2 linked regions of the Drosophila melanogaster genome follow. The protein of the gene in region 2 interacts with the protein of the main gene of each other region in a pairwise test. Each region holds a gene or a part of one and is shown on either strand. Other genes may lie near its edges.

Region 1 (7,947 bases), on a different chromosome or scaffold from region 2:
GAGCAACAATTGAAATAGTCGGTTTTGAGCAATCCGAAAAGTGCTTCGTGAATGATTAGTGGAACTCAAAGTTCCCACTTCCTATCGCAATGTGCTTATCTACATATTAATAATAAGAATAATATGTTGTTACGATTTGATTATTCTATTAAGAATGCCTTTCAACATATCGCAGTCTGCTAATTGAACTGCCAGACATTCGAATTTTGAATGCAGTGAGTGCATTATAATCAAGTTCGCACTTTCAAATTGCGGTTGGGGTGAATATTCACGGGGGGGGTGGTGACAATTTGTCTGCCCGTGATTTTGAATAACAAACGAATAAAATGGGTAAAATTGCCAAGAGCATGCTATATGAAGTTCAAAGCACTCTGTATAATGAATGGCAATTATTTTAAATTGGTTTGTAAGCCAGAAATGTTCAGTAGAGCCGGGTTTTTCGTATTTTAAAGTTACAAATAGAAATTCACACTTTAATAGCTCAAAGTCTCATGAGGCCGGTTCCTAGAACTCACTCATAATATTTAATGGAATATCTTTTATAAGCCATTCAAAGTTTGATACTAATGGGTTGCAGTGACACAAATCAAATGGCAAACATTTTCCTGGTGCAATATAAATCTTTTTTGCTTCAGTCGGTCGAAGTTCAATGGGTGGAGATGCGGGACGATAATGGTCCAATAATCGGGCACTTAAGTGGCCAATCCGATAAGATTAGCCATAAATAATAATGAACTTGTTGCTTAGCTCCCCTTTTTGGCTCAGTGTCCAAAATATTCAATTGTAAATTACTCGAGCGACATCCAATCGGAATGTCAATCGCAGTTGCATGCCATTTCTAATTAGAAAAGAGTAGACGGGCCATTGATTTCCAACTGGATGGTGAGATATACATATGTACATATATGTACGCAAAAGGTGGAAAAGCGAAGGTTGCGACCGGCGAAATGGTTTCTGGGGTGTGGTAGGGGCGGCATCGGGGCGAGGGAGTTACCCGGGCGTGCGCCAGTGACATCATTTCGCTATTTCCATTTTCATTTCCAGCATATGCTTTGTTTGCACTACGAATTCATCAAGTGTCATTTGGCACTATGTGCGTACACTGTGCACATGTATGTGTGAGTAAAGTTTGTTTGCCTCAAAAATAAAGCAAACAAAAACATAAACTTAAAACAACACAATCCAACCGATGACGTCACGAGGGAGCCTTTTTATTGTTCAAAATGGAACAATGAATGGGTCACAAGGATAAGAATGATCAGAAATAGCACTTTGTTGAAGTTTAAATTGCAAATAACCGGTTGGCGAACAATGATTAGCGGTTACAAAGCGTTTGGCTGTATTCACAATCGCACAGCTACACTTTAGAGCGGCACGTAAACAAAACGATATGAAACCCAAGATAAGCATTTATACACACACACACACAGAGAGAAAAGTCTAGTTCTCCACCGCAGCGGCAAACAAACTCTATTATTTACCCGCTAAGCACAAACTCAAGTCCAATCAGATGGGCGACTTTTTTTTAAACCTACAGCGCTAGCGTGACCGTGCTTGCCATGCTGGGAAATAACAAACTCGGTTGCGACCAAATTATCGATAGACAAATATGGCAATTTAATACGCGTAGTTTAGTTTTGGTGAAATAAGGCAAATATCAGAGGCATAATTTATAAGATTATTAAGTAAAACCATATAAATAATATAAAAATAAAACAATTAGATGAATAAAAGTTCTTCAACAAAAAAGGGATTAGGTTCAAGTAATTGTTTATTATGTGTGAAAAGCACCTAATTCTTAGGGAGCAATAAAAGATTGATGCGGAATATTGTTCGTTGTTGCTGATGCGAGGTGTCAGGTGGAGAAATACTATTTTAATAGGTTTAGTATTTTTAGACCCTTATGCAGGGAACGCACACTCAAGCAGAGTGGCAACGCCAGCCAAAATTCGAGTTTGACGCTTTCAAAAATGACATCCTAAAACGTTTGCTGCCTGGAAGAGAAGTGAAAACGAACTAAAAGTCGGGTATTATTAGTCTAAGGAAATGAGTACCAAACAGAGCCCGGCCCTCCAGCTGGCGGAGGGGCAGCTAACCAAGCTGACTAGCGAATCGGAAGAGATCCGTATGCGCGCGCTCGACCAGATTGAGACGAGATTCATCAGGTGCCTGCAACTGGGCGAGCCGATACAGTTCAAGCCGGTCCTGCTGCTGAAGCAGCTCATCCGCTGGTTCGGGTACACACCGCCGCTGGTGCCCGACCGTGTGCTGGCCATGATTATGGAACTCCTTCGATCCGAGTACGCCGAGGCGGTGATTCGCAAGATTCCTTACGAACGCTTCAAGGCCGAGCTGCAGAAGGTTCGCCGTGTGCTACACAAGCAGGAGTCCAAGCGGGTCAGCGAATTGCTGGATGATATGAATTTGCTGCTTCTCGAGAAGTACAACATAGACCGGGTGACGCCGAGCGTCTCCAGCCTTAGTTCAAATGACATTCCCAGTCAGGCAACTGAATCCGCAGACAGCAGTTCGAATCAGATTTACGACAATCTGAAACCGGAAGATTACGAGCCCTCCTGGTCGCATCCGTGCTTGGACGATGTGGCCACCATGAAGAGCATGATTGATTTGCCACGAAATAGCGTTGAGTTGCAGTTGCAGCTCACCGAACTGATCATCCGTATGGGCGACTACCCAACTGAGTACTTTCTGCAGCCACCGTTCGTATTCTTGCATCTGGTTCAGTTGCAAACGATGACTGACGGTAGCCTGATACATGTGAACCGGGCACTAATTGCCTGCCTGCGGCTGCTGCAGCAGCGCATCTTGTTGCGCCGAAACACTCTGAGCTACGCGGACAGGTTCGATCCTCCGTCACGCCCCAAGCAAGTGAAGGTGGTGAGCGCCTTGGTAATTCTGCTGGAAAATTGCATGAAGCTGATTCGTCCGTTGCTGTTCAGCTGCACAAACGACAACTGGCACATAATGGAGCTGATCGTGGAAATAGTGCGGACCCACGATGTTCTCAGCTCAAAAATTCCCTTAGTGAGCATTACGCTCATCGCGGACGCGGTCAAAAGTCTGCTGGCGTATTGTAACAGTGTAGAAGGCAGTTGCATGACCCAGCTGATGGACTCGCTCAGGATTCCCCGCCTGCAATCGCTGATCCTTAACGGCGTGCTGCACGATATGGTGGCCTTAAATATAAACTATGACAAACGCATGGACCGACGCCAAGCCAAAGCACTCATCCAACCTATAGTTTTGGACAGCGCTTACCTGTCTGGCATGCCCGAGCGCATGAAGTCGCTAAACACTCTAATATCGTCTTTGGATTCTGGACCATCACCGGACGAGGAGTTGATCAAGCTGAAGCGGGCCTACAGCGTGGCCCTAAATCAATTACATCCGAATACGGAACTGACTGGGTCGCTGCTAATCCAGAAGTACAGACAAGTGTGCCTTGTGCTCGTCCAACTGGGCAGTGAGACATTGGTAAAGCAGCTCTTCGGAGCTGTTGTAAAATGCATTCCATTCTACGCGGGCAATTTAAAGCTAAGAAAGGATGCGGATGAGCTGCTTTACACCCTTGTTGATTTGCCTGCTCTCAAACTTCGTTCACTTATATATCGTTTAATGATCAAATCCACCGTGGCCCACTTTCATTCCTTTATGAACAAGACAGTCTATATGACCGGCTGCAGCAATGTGGATCTGATTCGTCAGCATATCTTAGGCGTGCCGCTAACTCCCCTGCTGTTACGCAGAATGATAATTCAGAGTTCGGAAGCAAATACTTCGGAACGTATGCAGCAGTGGTGCCTCGACTATCCTATAATGATTATGAAGCTAAACGCTATTCTAGCTCCGCAGGATTTCAGCGTTGTTTTCCCGTTGCTACTCCCCGTGCTGCCTCTGCTGATCAGCAGGTCGGTTACACACAAGATATTGCACAACGTCATATGGAACGTTTTAGAGCCGGACTCCAGCCGTTTGGATCCGCAATTGATGCTGCGCGGGTACGTTTACTTCATGTTCCATCCGGATGGCGAGGTTAGGAGCGAGGCCACCACTACAATTGCTTACGTGCTGCAATGTCAGGAGCAAACGAATAGATATTTGCCCACCGCAAGCAACGTACCGGTTGAGCACATCGCCAACGATCTCTGCATAATTCAACCACCATTCTGTTATAGAAGCATTTTCATCAAATGCTCTGATGAGCGGTTTCAAGGTCAGCGCAGCTTGGACGCCCTGTTCCGATTACTCCAGGCCAAGGACATAAAGTCGAATATCCGAAAGTCAACAATGACTCAATTAAATGTCTTGCTACGAAACTGGAGAGCTTGTGAGGAATTCTCCACAAAGGAGGATGGATATCGACTGATTATGGAGTCTCTGCACAACGCTCTGAAAAAGGGGAACGACACTGATATTCTGCTGCCCACTGTGAGTATCCTGATGAAGCTTCTGTTCAATGACGATGAGTTTCGATTAGAAGTCGCGAACACATTCGGGGTGTACACTTTACTGCTGAGGGCTTTATTCTTGTTCCCCCACTTGGAACAGTTGCGCCAGGATGTCAGTATATGCCTGTTCCAAATGCTGTTCCAGAATTGTATCACCTCCACTGAAGACAAACTGGTACTGAATGCGAATATGGAACCCCTGATTTTGCCTGTAACCTATGAAATTGAACATAAAGTTATACCCACTGCCGTTACGGAAGGATTGGAGCTGCAACAAAATGTGGAGGCGACCCATTTCGGGCGAGATAGGGCAAAAGCTGCACAGCATTGGCGACTGTATATGGCCTATCGCGTTTGCCAGGTTCCATCCAGCATTACTTTGGAGTCTGTGAGCGCTTTGGATATAAGGGAGTCTCTTAAGATCAAAATGGCCGATTTGGCGTTAGTAAGATCCTCCGACTTAAATGAGCAGCTAAGTTGTCAGTTTATCGCAGCGGAGAATTGCAGCAAACACGAGGATCTGCAAAAAACTGTGTCGGCCATTCAGCTATTTCTCGTGGTTCTGCGAAACTCATTAAGTGATACGGTGGCTGAGAACTTGTGGAAATTAATCCATAAGTACATCCGCTTAGCGCCGGGGAACGAAGCGGATGACAAGGTGTACAAGTCCATGCTGGATCTGTGCGTAACATGCATTCGCTTCAGCCAGCCACATGCTATCAACGGACTGAGCTACGCTCTGGAAACGGATCATCATCACAGCTTCCAATTACTCCTGCACGATAGCCAAATTTCTCTGGATAAGCTATTCCTGATTTGCCAGTGCATGATGCAGCTTTTGTCCAACGAGCTCAGTGATGATTCGATGAACTGGTATGGCAAGTTCTTTATGCAATTGAGTGCCGTGGCCAAGACGCACTTTGAATTGCGCCAGCTGCAGCACGTTCGCTGCATACTTTGCATGCTGCGCTTTGTAAGCGAGCGAAATCTGAAATTTAGTAATGCTCAGTTGATGGTGAGTAAAGGATCATCGTCATTAGATATTGATTTCTTACCTTGAATTTTTGTCCGCAGAGCTACTCTCAGCATTTTATCCAATTGTCCAGCAATTTACGTACCTCAACTCAAACCGGATCCGAGTGGCAGCGGGACTGCTTGTACATAATCTGTCAGCTCCAGATCCATCTAATATATCAGGAGCCAAAGGCGTCCAGCAAGGCCAGTATCCCAAACGATGTCGGAGCTTCATATAAGGTCTTGCGCTATTTCTTAACACTTTGCGGGCACGGTGACAGTGAAGTGCGTGCATTGTCCTGGGTATCGTTGGCCAATTGGATAACCATCTGTGGCTCGCAGGTAGCAGAAATTCTGCCTCGCCTGGATTTTCTACCCGGCGGACTGCCGGCTTGCTGTTTAACCACTCTGACGGATGCCCACGAAATGATGCTGATCAGGGAGTTGGCCGGACGAGTATTTATCCTTCTGATGCCGCTCATTGGTGCCGAAAGTAGCTTGGAATTGTTGCGGAAACATGACTTACTAAAGACCGCCTACAATTCGCTGAAAGCAATTCACGACACTCCCTGGATGTTCAAGAAGATAGTTGGTGAGCGGCATTCGTGTGAAGTAATTAGCTGCTATGTTGCCATATGCACCAAAATGGTGGCCATGAAGCCAGAGTGGTGTGCCGCGCTCTGCGGCCACAGTTTGATGAGTGGTCTCAGCGATGTGATGAAAAAACTCAAGTCGCAGGCGTCCTGTTCGATTCCGCTTGTGGAACTGTGTGCATCCCAAATTTGTGAATTGTACTCGATGTGCTACACTAATAACTTTGAGTTCCTTAAGATGACGATTTGTCGAGATTCTGTATTCTTGCAGAATTATTTAACGCTGATCAACGATGTTTTGAGTTTGGAATGTCCCGAGTACATGGTGATTCCCCTATTAAAGATGTTTCTCATATTCTGCACGGACTCGAATTCGAACTCATTTCTCATCGAACAGATAAAGAATAAGCCATCTCTATTCATGGATTTCTTCCTGTTTGGATTGCATGTGAAGCTTATTAATTCGCCATTTCAGCGCTTTACTCTGTCAGCATTATCACTTGTGTTCACCAAAGCTCAACTTGCTGCGTATGATATAAGCATGCTAAGTGAGTTGGAGAAGTTCGAATTAGCATTCAGTGATCCTGATATTGCTAAAGATGGCAAACAAGAATTCGAGTCAAAAAAGAAGCAATCTGTATCGCAATGCATCTACGATGAATCCTCGGATAATTCGGATGACAATAAGCAAAGGCCAAACCATGCGATCCAGGCCACTAATGCGGCTATTATAATTTTCCATCGCTTGGATCAGCTCTTTGACCGTTACTATCTATCGAAGGCCTTAAACTTTTTGGAACTTCCTGCAGTGGGCCAGGTGCAGGTTTGTGAAGCACTCGGCGAACTGCTTAAGGCATCAACCTGGGCCGTGAAAGCAGCCGGAGAATCGAAGCTGCTTGGCAAGGTAGTTCACATTCTGGACGATTTTCTCAATGACGAAAAAATCGGAAACGCCGCCGTCTATGTGAAGCGAGTGGGACCTCACAAGGCGCAAAGTATCATAAGCAATCTCTTGGTACTGATTAACATGCTATCCCAATGGCATAGTTCTCCCAATTCTGAGATCATCCAGACCAGTATGGCTGCGAATATCGCCAAAATCCTCATCCGCATTTGGCCTTGGTTATCGCACTCGTATCACTTAAAAAAGGTTACTGTCCAGCTGATTATGTTCCTTACGGAGCATTCATTCGAAATGTGTAAACAGATATCCCTGCTTCAGTCGGGACATGCCCAATCCCTGCTACACCTAATGGCTCGCGTCGCTGACTTCGAGACCACCAAGAAGGAGATTCCAAACAAAGAGCCATCTCTGAATATGGTGCCCGCACTAAGGGTTATGGTAAACTGCTGTTGCTGCACCGAGGGTCGGCTGAGTTTGTCCAAAATGAATTTGCTGGATATGTTTGACACAATCCTTCCTGCTAATCCGTGCTCAACACATCTTAAAGTGCGACCACCTGTACTGATTGCATGGCTCGGATTCTGGGAGGTATTTTCCCGGTACGACGTAGGAGGAAAGGCTTGCCATCTTCAATCTCTTATAAACACGATTCGGCGTAGTCCTCCATTGAGTCACAAGCGGATCCTGTGCCTTCGAATACTCCGCAACATGTGCTTCTTCAATGGTAATCGCCCCCGGCTCGTGGAGCTGGCTGACTTTATTAACCTGCTGCGTGATATTTTGGAGCAGAGGGTCCAAAAAGCACCCACATCCGAGAAAAACGGGCTGAACTCCTTCGAGGAGCACCGCCTGGCTGTCCTCATGTTGTGGAAACTCTTCGGTTTCGGTGCCAAATATAAGGGCATGCTGCGGGGCACCAAGCTCTTTAAACTGCTGATTGGCCTTCGGGTGGAGATGTCGGTGGTCT
Region 2 (4,717 bases):
GCCACAGCTAAAAAATAAATTTCTCTCTCAGGGCTTTTGCGCAAACGAGCAAGGGAGACAGAGATATATTGGGCTGATTTCATGAATCGGAGGAGGCTGCACGTAGGCACCACTAGATGTCCTCCTATCGATAGGCCTCGATAGAATGAAAAACTTCTCGATAATTATGGAAAATTATTATGGATCGTTGGGGGGAAAACAAGTTTCCAGCTGGTGGGCTCCAATTGACAGCGTTTTGCACTCAGTTGATTGCAGCTGCAAAATCCACTCCAGCACAACTCCTAATGGGCGCACACATTTTATATGTGTGGGAGGCCAAGCAACGAACGTCACACCAAGTGCAATAAACGTCATGAAGGTTATAATCGTAGTTTGTTCACATTTCGCCGCGTTCGCTGCATTTTGGGCACGAATACGCATTTGAACACGAGTGTCAGTGCATTACGCTCAATCGATCAGCCATCATGAGTCATTTTCCATTTCCATAACTGCCTGCACACGCTCAATTTCAATTTCTCGGTCTCGGCTAGCTGGCACAGATACTAGTGCCGTCTCTCTCACTTCGCCGGCAGCTTTGGTGGTGTTGGTGGAATGGCAGGGAAAAGGAATACCCTTTTGTGCTTGGAATCTAGTATTGCTTAAATTGATAATCATATTATGCGAATTTATACCAGTCAACTGGTCTAATTACAAAGGGTAACTATTGGTGCTGAAATCTACATATGTATGTGTGAATATATTCCTATTGTACAGCAGTTTACCCATATGGATTTCATGATTTTTCAAAGCAGCTCACTTATGCCCGATTTTATAGGATATTAGTGGAATTAGTGGATGTCAGTGGTCCAACCCAACCGTATCTAGCATATTTACACAACAATCTGTCCTGTTTCATAAGATTATCTTTGATAAACACAAAGTATGGACTATAATCACTATCTAAACGAAAACAACAAACTTCTAGTTTAACCTCCAGTTAGAATATGACTAATTAGTGGATTTAGTTGATCTTTGTCATTGTTATTTTATAGCATATATCAAATCCCACATATAATTAAGAACTTGTGTACAATAATAACACCCCCAGTGATGGTTATAAAGTCCAGATGCTGGAATACCCCTAAAATTAGGGCACATACACACTTATATTCAGCTTAATGGCCCCAGTCGAATGATGCAATGGGGTTCTCTTGGCGAAACAAAACAACTGTAAACACCACACAGACTGTGCGGGGTGGGTGAAGGGAAGCGGAGTGGGTGGTGGGGTTGGGCGCCGGCAGGCAGACAGCATGCATGTTCTCGAACATCGTGTGACGTCAAGGAAATACACTGCGGCACCCGGTGCGCAACGTGGCCCAGTCAGTCAATGCTCCCTAGTTCGTTCGATTGATTAGCAAGGGTAAACGAAACGAAAGTGCTGCCTGGCCCAGCTTTGCCGATAACTGACTAGAAATCCACTGAATGAAAGCGTAGGAGCAATGGTCGGGTCTTTTCTCTGATTGGTAGTCAGTCCCCACCCAATGACAAGCAGAATAATACATACATATGGTTAGGAACTTTAGAGGAAGTATAACTTCCGATACAAAATATTACATTAACGTATATCTTTTTTTTACCATTGCATTTTAGCAGAAATATCCTACAAATCGTATTTTATAGGTACAACTTTAAGAAGCAAAGAACGTTTGTCACATTCTCAAAATAATAATTATATGCTTAAATAAGGCTTTTGTTTTCTTTTGGCATGCAAATAACTGTTGCCTACGAAATATACTTTATATTTAGGCAATACAACAATATTACGACAGAGATACAGGTGAATTTCCAATAGGTAGAAGTTCAAATTTATACGAAAGAGCTGCCAAATTCACAGTCAGAGCAAATATTTGCAATTATTTCATCATTCTGTTAACATGTTGTCTAGTTAAAATTAAACTGGTGACACACGAAGCGCAAATATGCGAAATCTCTTCAGAAGGTTTCCAAAATATATCTCATGCATCACAGTTTGCTTCTCAGCTATGGGAATTTAGTGTCAAACTCCCAGAGTTCTAGAAACTCAAATTGCTCACCTGACTGACTCTGGCTGCAGCTGTTGTCCGTGTTGCTGCAGGAAATGCCGCTGCCACTCCGGATGCCGCTGTCCCCAGATCCACGGGGGTGGTTGTTGTTATTGTTGTTGCTTGCTTTCGCAGCAGCGGCAGAAGCAGCTGTCCCGGACTTGGGCTCCACCATGTTGTTGCTGTTGTTGTTACTGTACGGTGCTCCTGGACGCGATTAGAGTGAGACAGGCAGAGTGCTTACAAGCTGGAAAAAGGGTTTACGGTGCAACAAATGAGCAGCAGTTTTTCTCAGTCTCTCGTGCTCTTTCCTCTCTTCTCGTTCAGTTCATTCAAAATCAAAATGGTGGCCGCCTATGGGATTTTTGTGTTTTTAATACAATGCGGCGGTTGATGAAAAAACTGATTCAATTCTGCTGCAGATGCTCCTCTCTCTCTCTCTCTCTATCTATCGCTCTCCGCTGTTTATTTATTCTTGGTTTGGTGGTTGAGTCGTCGTTGGTGTGGCTGCTGTTGTTGTTGTAATCGATGGCTGCTGCTGATTTCTCTCATCACACAGGCGAAAAAAGCTCAAGCAAAAAATGGGGTTTATCTATTTGCACCGCTTTTTTCGGTTATCTGCGATATTTTTTGTTTTTTTCTTCGGGTATTGCGATTTTTGCGTTTCACCTCTTCTTTGTGGGCTTGGTGCAGTAGTGCTGTTGCTGTGGTTGTTGCTCTTGTAGTTGTTGGTGAGATGGTTGTTGTAGTGATGGAGGCGTTAATTTAGTTCTATTTTATTTTCCGGAGCTGCTGGAGATGGCTGGTGTGGCGGTGGAGTTGGTCGTTAAAATTTCCTCTGCTGATTACAACACAAAAAAAATCGCTGAATAGCGGACAAAAGCCGTTTTCTTTGCGTATTTCGCTTTAAGTTTCCTTCCCAGCTACCGATCCATTTTCAAAGTTCGAATGATTCCGACGAATGACGACGAATTCATCCGTGTGGCCGGAGGTACCATTTTGGTAGGACCGTTTTTCGGGCCAACGAAAATACCACAAGACGGCAGCGACACTAGGGTTTTTTGCTTCAAATGTAGTATGGCTACGCAACTCACATATGGTTGAGAACTTCGCTGTTTATTTGGTGGTTAAACTAGCTAAATACAATAAGAGTGGCAACGCCGTCACGTTTTCTACATGTATTTTACTTGGCGTAGTGCGCCAAGCTTATAAACCACAGTTGGGCGGTTCTTTTGAATTGTTTAATTTACACCCCACTATGAAACTTATTAGCCTTCTTTATTTATTTTATATTTTATTTTTGGGAAGAATACGTTTACTCAAGGTTCGCAGCTTGTCAATCAGTATTCGCAAATATCAATAATAAAAGGCATCAATTTTCCAATCAGCAGTTGAAAAGAACTCCCCTCGACATTTGAACAAAATGCATTTTTGGGTGATTATAATTTATTAGAATTTTTATTGACTTAAGGTAAATATAAATAAAATATTATTCAAGTACAAAGTTATATATACTCATTAATATTATTTGATTCAAGTAAATATATTTCAAAGTGGCGGTGTTTTATTATATCATTTTTCAATTAAGTACAATTTACTGTTCCTGCTCTATTTCTATGGGTTCGCAGAGAGTCCAAAAGTACTCTTAACACTCGGTCCTGTAAGGTGTGTATAATTTTCGGGCAGGCCATTTTCGGATTTGGCCCGACCGGAAAATATTGCGAGCCATTGACGACGCACCTGCAAGTTTTAAACCTGGCTTATTGACTCGTGATTTCCTCGTCTTTGAGACCCGGGGATCGAGTACTTGTGGGTACTTTGCGAACCCGGACTTCAAACCTTGCCCATGCAACAATTGTATCTTTGTGTAGTTTACGTTTAATCAATGAATTTGGATCACAAACAGTAAATACGTCTTTAACGATAATTGCAGTTGAATTAAACATATTAAGATAAGGGTAGTGGGGTGGGGGTACCTTTGTTTTAATTATAAAAATATTATATCTGCATTTTACATGTTTTTGTTTCGCTACTATCGTTTTTGCTCGAAATTACATAAGTCCAGCCTTAAAACAAGTAATTTTCGTCACCAATCGCATTCGCGCACGCTCCATTATCCATAACACTCGGTTTCGTCATCAATTCAATTCAATTCAATTTTGCATTTAAACGCTACGTTGCCTTAACTTCAGTCCTTTCGCAGAAAATCTAACCCTTAAATGTATTTAGCTCTTCGCCCGTCGATCCTTTTTCTTCCCTCCTTCCTTCCTTCACATCCCCCGCATGCTGCAGACACTAAACATAAATTCAATACGTACAGTTTCAAATTGGATGCGCGGCATCGTATCGTCGTTTAATGTAAAAGGTGTAATGCTACGCGCCCTTTTCGTCTGATCCTTGCCCTAAATGCCATCCTAGGGTATTAATCCATCCACCTCTAACTACAATTTAACTTCTCTTTGGCCGCAAACCCCCCGCATTACTTATTTAGCTCCTGTAAATATGAACTGCTTATGTTTCGCTTACGCTCCTTCGATCATTTTTGTGTTTGCTTTTGTTTTTGTGTTTATAATTTATTTAAATGCACTAAAAGTTGCACGGACCGTTTGCCAGCAGCCTGTGAAGTCGATCGTCGTCGGTTCGGCTGTGTTGCGATC

Evidence for each region.
Region 1: the proteins of Lk6 (region 2) and ana3 interact in a two-hybrid assay, tested with the Drosophila melanogaster proteins (one study listed by BioGRID).

What each region holds. Positions count from the first base shown.
Region 1 is NT_033778.4:12,343,040-12,350,986, forward strand, and holds the start of ana3 (anastral spindle 3), read left to right. Parts: upstream 1-1,943; 5' UTR 1,944-2,046; coding exon 2,047-5,484; intron 5,485-5,543; coding exon 5,544-7,947. UniProt on the Drosophila melanogaster protein: Participes in the structural integrity of both centrioles and basal bodies and in centriole cohesion. Participates in the later stages of centriole assembly through the interaction with Rcd4 leading to the centriole to centrosome conversion.
Region 2 is NT_033777.3:11,761,412-11,766,128, forward strand, and holds the start of Lk6 (Lk6 kinase), read right to left. Parts: upstream 3,047-4,717; 5' UTR 2,236-3,046; coding exon 2,073-2,235; intron 1-2,072.